Macaca fascicularis: one gene and its partner. The protein of the gene in region 1 interacts with the protein of each later gene in a biochemical or structural test. Links are inferred from orthologs where the notes say so. Each region holds a gene or a part of one and is shown in the gene's direction. Other genes may lie near its edges.

The links. The genes of interacting proteins can lie anywhere in the genome.
Region 2: the proteins of MYO18A (region 1) and GOLPH3 form a complex in vitro, tested with the Homo sapiens proteins (2 studies listed by IntAct). The link is inferred for Macaca fascicularis from reciprocal best matches to the Homo sapiens genes MYO18A and GOLPH3.

Annotation. Positions count from the first base shown.
Region 1 is NC_088390.1:34,668,050-34,671,998, reverse strand, and holds the start of MYO18A (unconventional myosin-XVIIIa), read left to right. Parts: upstream 1-1,149; 5' UTR 1,150-1,235; intron 1,236-3,949.
Region 2 is NC_088380.1:32,746,672-32,750,171, reverse strand, and holds part of GOLPH3 (Golgi phosphoprotein 3), read left to right. Parts: intron 1-1,852; coding exon 1,853-1,984; intron 1,985-3,500. UniProt on the Homo sapiens protein: Phosphatidylinositol-4-phosphate-binding protein that links Golgi membranes to the cytoskeleton and may participate in the tensile force required for vesicle budding from the Golgi.

The DNA of each region.
Region 1 (3,949 bases):
AGCAGGCAGTTTGTCAAATTGAGTTTGAGTTGCATGTTATTCCAAAATGTGTATCCCACCTGGGTCTATTCCTCAGGAACTTCTAACTCTTACTCAACTCTTTGCTTCTGAGCCTTCTCGCTCCAGCCCTCCCTGGTCTGTCAGGTTGGGCTGCCCTTGCCTGGAGAAGTTCCTGTTTGGGCTGTCTAGGGAAGCAGCTGCCTTTGTCTGCTACACCCTTCTTCCTGCACCACCCCACTCAGTTTCTTCCACATTCTGGCGCACCCCACTCCAGCATGGACACTGCCCAGAAAAGTGTCTCCGTTTCTTTCTCTCTCCAAACTCCAGACATAGCACCTATCTTGGAGGCCTGGTATCTAGATGTCCCTTGGCCTCTCCTAGGAAGTATAAACTGTCTTCTTGGTGGGTAGAGCAGCTCACTTGATATTTACAGCACACGGTGGACCCAGGGACAGACTGCACTCCAAAGAGTGAAAGTGTTAATCGTGGCATTGGTGAACTCCTTCAGGGAGTGAGTGGCACTTACAGCCATGGCTCCCGGGCCCCGTACGCCTCTTGATCCACTCCACTTTGAGACAGGGCTCTATCAGACCAAGCTATTGAGAGTCTGTTTTTACCTTGGGGAGTGCATTCTGGCAGTGCCATCTGGGACATGGAAGGCAGTAACTGGTCTGGACTGAGCCTGGGGCACCATCCAGCAGGGCCCTGTGTGTGCCTCTGCAGAGCCACCTTGGGAAGAGTTGGCCAGTAAGACTTAATTGCTTCCTCTAGACAGCACTACCTTGAACACAGCCTGCAGAGTTCGGTGCCTGCCTTGGACAGCCCCTCTTCTATACGTTCATCATGACCCTGGTGCCTGTCCTGGGCAGTGCCACTCAGCCCCTTTCGGACCCTTTTCGGACAGCCTCCAGTGCCCAGTGCAGACAGAAACTCCAGGCAGGGCCTCTCTCAGACACAGCGAGAGGGGCTTCAGAGCCCACTGCGGACGGAGGCTGCTAGGGCAGCGCCCGGCCCGCCTGGCCCACGTCTGGCGGCGCGCACTGGTGCTGCCAGGCAGGCCGGGCGTTTATCCCCAGAGCAGCCAGCAGGGAGCTCCCTTTCGGCTCGGCTGGCGCGGTCGCTGGGGGCGGCGCTGAGCTGCGCCGCGCTGCGCTCTGCTCCAGCCCCGACCGGGCCGAGGCTGCTGGATGCCGCGTCTCCGCTTCTGCTGCCTGCCGGGCGGGCTCCGGTGGCCGGTGAGTGCGGGTCGGCGGCGGCTGCCGCTCGGTGGCGGGCCCGGCCCGGTGGGGCGGCGGGGCGGGCTCCGGCCGGGCGGGCGGGCGGGCGGGCGGCGGGGCCCGGCGGCTCCTCCTCCTCCCCTGTCCCCTGGAAGCAGCGGCCCGGACTCCCGGCTCCCGTCCCTGGCGGCGCCGTGGAGCTCGACGCCCGGGGGTGGGGGCCGACCGGGAGCGGCGGGGAAGGGGGACCACCGGCCCTTCCAGCCAACCTGGGGGGCGCAGGGAGGCAGGACAGGGTGGCCTTCAGTGTGGGGGGATTTGGCGCTTGGAGGCGCCCAGGTGGCCCGGAGCTGCGGGGTGCGGGCTGCAGCCTCGGGGGTGGGGGGACTTCTCTTGTCCCGGCCCAGGCCCCCCGATGGAGCGAGCGAGCGAGCGGGGCGCTGAGGAAGGCAGCGGGGAAAGGGAGCACCTCTACCCAGCCTTTTATCCCTCCCAGCGGCCTTCACTCTTTCACTGCCGGGCCGACTGCGGGCTCCTCTCAAAGGAGCAGCTGCTAGACAGCTGGCAAAACAATAGAGACCCCGCTTCCCTGGGCCCCCTCCTCTTGGGACAGAAGATGAGGCGATGAATGGTGGCAGGCTTTGGGGATTAGGGAGTGCAGGCTGTACCCTGCGACTGAATGCTCACCTCACCTTTCCCTGCAGAGGGGTGGGGTGCGTGTGGGAAGGTCGGACAAGCTGCCCCAGGCCTCTGGAGAGACCGCCCCAACGCCCCGCCCTGCTAACCTGTCATGCCAGTTGTTTCGCCAATGGGAAGGGGAGGTGGTAGGGGTGGCTGCCCCCTCACCCTGCCCCTTGTTAGTGGGGGTGCTCTCCTTGGTCCCAAGCCTGGCCAGGAGTGTGGGTCATGTTCCTGGGTGCGATAAGGCCCGCAGGGACAGGCCAGGCATTGGGGCTTTGTTGTGGGGGTGGAGATGGGGGAGTTGCCCTACTGCAAGGCACATGTGTCTTACTGATTAGTTGGAAAGGTTGCGGCCAGAATGAGCCAGAGGTGGGGGGTGGGGGAGATGGGGAGGAAGACAGCCAGTTTGTTTTTGAGCCCGTATTCGTTTTGCCTGGCCACTTGACCAATGGGGCACGTGTTTGGCGCTGGCCGCATAGTGTGTGTTTGTGTGGGGAGGGCTCGGGGAATGCTTCCTGAGAGGGACTGTCCTGGTTAGGGCCTTCATGCCCTCAGATGGCCACCCAGAATTAAAGAATTGGGTTCCCTCCCCGCTTCACCCTGCCAATGACTTGGGCTAGTTAGTGTGGGTTCGTCTTGTCTTTTGGAGCCCCTGGCGTGTCTGTGGCTGAGAAGACCTCATCAGTGCCCCTGTGGCGAGTGAGCTCTGGGAATTGTGTATGCACTGGGGCGCGCTGGAAGGGAGGGGAGGCCACTTGGATGATTAAGAGCGAGATCAGGCCGGGCGCGGTGGCTCACACCTGTAATCCCAGCACTTTGGGAGGCCAAGGCAGGCGGATCACCTGAGGTCAGGAGTTGGAGACCAACCTCAACATGGATAAAGCCCGTCTCTACTAAAAATACAAAATTAGCCGGGCGTGGTGGCGTGTGCCTGTAATCCTAGCTACTTGGGAGGCTGAGGCAGGAGAATTGCTGGAGCCTGGGAGGCGGAGGTTGTGGTGAGCTGAGATCGCGCCATTGCACTCCAGCCTGGGCAACAAGAGTGAAACTCTGTCTCAAAAAAAAAAAAAAAAAAAAAAGCAAGATCATCTGAGGAGGACGGTGAGTACAGAGCCCATTGAATCAAGCTGCCTTTCCCTTGTGCTTTGGAGCCCTTTTCTTGAGCAGATTGGTGCCCCGTTGTCGTAGCAACAGGCCTGGCCTAATGTTCCCCACCCTTTTTAGTTCAGGGGCTACTTTCTATTTGGGGATATTGAAAGTTGCTCTCCTGAGGTCTCTGGCTTCCTGACAAGCCTCACTGGCTCTTTGTCCATGGCTTCCCACCTCCTCAGCTTCCCCTCTGTTTTTTTGTGATGAAGGCTTTCCAGGAAACATCCTCCTGGTTTCTGGATTTGACAGACGGGTTATATATAGCCTCGGGTGGAGGTGTGCTTGTCCATTTTGGGTTGAGGACATCGGGGTTGTGGCCTCAATTCCAGGAAAACCATGGCTTTGGGGGCAGCTATTGTATTGAGGGGATTAGGGGAATGAGAAGGGTTGTAGGTGGGGGTGGAGGGTGGGCATGGGAGGGGCCACAGGCTGGTGGTCACTTACTTTGGGAGCTTTGAACTTTGAACAGCTGATGACCTGGTGCCTGGTAGCTCTGAGTGTCTAGTTTGTTTACTCTCTCCTGGCCTGGCCCAGGTGCTAGAGTGTATGCCTGAGGACTTCCTCCTGCGCCCCAGACTTTCCTCATGTGGGTTATGCCCTTCCTGACTCCCACCTGGTCTCTCAGCCTCACTCCTGGGCCGTCTGGGTAGCCAGCCAGTTCCCTGGAGGCCCCCTCACTGGCCCTGGTAGTGGCTGTTCATTGAGGAGTGCATGTGTCTTCAGAAACTAGGCCTGAAAACTCTGGGCCCCCCAGAGGCAGGTACCTAAAGGTGGACTGGGTGGGGCAGAACTGGGGCTCCTGTGAAAGGGAGAATCCACCCTGCTGAGGTGGAGCTGGGAGTTGTTGGAACTCAGGAAGCCTTCATCCGGACTTGGTGTGTCACAGGTCTCCAGGGCAGCAG
Region 2 (3,500 bases), on another chromosome or scaffold:
TAAAGACCCCGTTTTGCTAATATCTCTGGGTATGCCATTAAAGGAGCATTTGAGATTGAGACATATTTTAGTTCTCTGCTATCAAATGTAAGCTTCCATACTGTTCAGCTGGAGTTTGCAGGCTCTAGGGCTGTTGACGTCCATTATTGCTTTATGAGGTGTTCTTTGTTGTTTACAGTTTGTAGAGGCTCACTTAGGAACTCTGTCTATATGTCCCGGCCAGTCAAAGCCAGATATCTGTAACTTTAATTTCATGTGGAATTCATTCTCAGGCTTCGTAGGGCTTTAATTTCATGGACACAGAAGCCACACATTTTACCTAACCTCTATAAACTACTGGTATTATTAGCCACTTTGCTAAATCTCTGCTGATCTTCATTTGATCAGACCCCAACACTAATTTTAAAATGATTCCCTAAAATCCAGTCAGTGTCTGCTTCTTCTGCCTCACATTTAAATTGATCTCTTAACACTGATGTTTTTGTTTATCCCCTTGTGCCTCCTTTAATCTAAATTGTTATTTTTCCAAAGGTCACATTCTCAGAAGTGGTGGCTTAGTGAGGCGAATTTAACTCCTTGTATCAAAAATGAAGTTTGATGGACCTCAGTGGTCAGTCATCTTCTGAAATACAAGCTCACTACTCTGGCCTGGCAAACTGCCAGGATTGACCTTGGAAAAGTGCCAGAGGTGAGGGCCAGGCCTTCCTAATCCTGGGCCCTCCATTCTTCAGAGATTCAGTTGGCCTGTTCTACCAAAATTATGTTACCTGTTCTGAGCCTTAATGAGAATTATTTATAGCTTCTGCTGTCTCATGAGAACTGGGATGTTAAATTGATAGCTGGCAACCCTCCTGCCAAGATTTGTGGCTTTATAATTTGAACAACTCCAGTTATTTGCTGTTACAGTGCCCTGACCTCATCTGGTGATGTCTGCTTGACCAGTATCCCATATCTCTAGATGTCTATCAACCTCCTTATGTCTGGCTGTTCTTCCGCCATGGATGCTGCCCTTACATTGTCTCTTGGGGCCGATCTGATTGTTATACTGTTTATTATTCAGAATTTTAGGCATATAGCCATCCGTTTGTTTGTGGGCCCGTATGTGTTTTTCTAATATATTCTTACAAAATTAACAGTGTGTGTATTTAAGACACAATGTCTCACAGTTTCGCCCAGGCTGCAGTGTGTCGGTGTAATCATTGCTCACTGTAGCCTTGAACTCTTGGACACAGTGGTCCTCCTGCCTTAGCCTCCTTAGTAGCTGGGACTACAGGTGTGTACCACCATACCTGGCTAATTGATTTTTTTTTGATAGAAACAGGATCTCACTATGTTGTCCAGGCTGGTCTCAAACTCCTGGGCTCAAGCCATCGTCTTGGCTCCGCCTCCCAAAGCACTCGGATTAACCTTGTGGTTTTATCCTAAACAGCAATAAATGGATGGTATTCTAATTCTCAGTGAAGCTAAATTGGCTAGGTTGCCTTTCCCTGAGCTTCTTAACTTGTCCACATATAATAAATCACTATAATCGGAGATTAACTGAGTATTCCTTGGAGTTTGCAGGGTTCTGAAAGAACCTAATAAACACAGCTTAGTGAAATGTGAGTTATATTTCTAAACTTTTGACCTCTAAAGTTATTTGTTGTTTGTATATAAGAATAAGTGGTGGAAAGATAAGCCCCTGAAAATTATCGATTAATAATTTATGTTAATTGTATTTTTTCAGTATGTTGTTATAGAAATACAAGAAAGGTAAAAGGCATCAAATAGGACTTTGGCTGAGAATATTTGTTTTTGACTGTGAATTCAAGGTAAATTAGCTATTTTGTTTTATTTCTTCTTTTTTTAACAGGGTTACACATCATTTTGGAATGACTGTATATCATCTGGATTACGTGGCTGTATGTTAATTGAATTAGCATTGAGAGGAAGGTTACAACTAGAGGCTTGTGGAATGAGACGTAAAAGTCTATTAACAAGAAAGGTAAGAGGAGTGCTGAGTAACTTTCTTTTTAAAGAGGTTGTACTACTTAAAATGTATGCTTTTACTAATAGCTTTCAAAAATGAAAGCGGAAGTTGATATTAAAGTTGTCTTTATTCTATTGTATTTCCATATCTTTTTTGCATTCTTGGTTTTCTGGTTCTTTGTACCTACAATGAATAATGTAATTCATTATTAAGGTAACTGGCCACTGGATCTTACATCTTCAGAAAGATTTTAGACTTCATTTGCTGCTTTTAAAAGCCATGGTTTTGAAAGATTTGACATTAAAAACTCAAAAGTGTTACTGTGCAATTTATGCATAGGCTATTGATCTTTTCATCAGATTATGAGTACTTTTCAGATACCTGTCTGTGAAAGTCTGTGTAGGTGCTTCTCTGGTATAATAGAGGTAATTTAACTTAAACCTCAATCTCAAATATTCAAGACTGATTTTCTTCTGGTTTGTCATTGTGTTTCTTGAGCATGGTGTTTCAAAACTAGTTTTTTTCCTCAATCAGTGTCCTAATGAATCTAAAAGTTTTAGGTCAGAGCTGAACACTTCTTGATTGATAAGCTATAGAGAATAATAGTTCTGTAGGGAAGAACACCATTCATGCATTTTTTTTTTTTTTTTTTTTGAGACAGAGTCTTGCTCTGTCACCCAGGCTGGAGTGTAGTGGCGTGATCTCAGCTTACTGCAACCCCTGCTTCCCTGGTTCAAGTGATTTTCTTGTCTCAGCCTCCCAAGTAGCTGGGACTACAGGCGTCTACTGCCACACCCAGCTAATTTTTGTATGTTTTGTAGAGGGTTTCGCCATGTTGCCTGGGCTGCTCTCAAATTCCTGGGCTCAAGTGGTCCGCTCGCCATGGGCCTCCCAAAGTACTAGGATTACAAGTGTGAGCTACCATGCCCAGCCCATTGTTTTCTAGTATATAGAGTTGCTATTCGAATCTGGTGCCCTTCTGATTTTCTTTTCCTTTTTTTTTTTTTTGGATACAGTGTCTCACACCATTTCCCGGGCTGGAGGGTGGTTGGTATGATCTTGGTTCACTGCAACCTCTGCCTTCCAAGTAGCTGGGACTACATAGGTATGTGCCATCATGCCTGGCTAATTTTTTTTTTTTTTTTTGACACCAAGTGTTGCTCTGTCACCCAGGCCAGAGTGCAGTTGGTGCCATCTCAGCTCACTGCAATCTCCGCCTCCCGGATTCAAGCGATTCTCCTGCTCCAGCCTCCCTAGTAGATGGGACTACAGGCATGCACCACCACACCCGGCCAATTTTTTTTTTTTTTGTATTTTTAGTAGAGATGGGGTTTCACCATATTGGTCAGGCTGGTCTCGAACTCTTGACCTCAAATGATCCACCTGCCTCCCAAAGTGCTGAGATTACAGGCGTGAGCCACCGCGCCCAGCCTCCGGGCTAATTTTTTTAAAAACATTTTTGTTAGAGATAAGGTCTTACTTTATTGTCCAGGCTGGTCTTGAATGCTTGGGTTCAAGTGATCCTCATGCC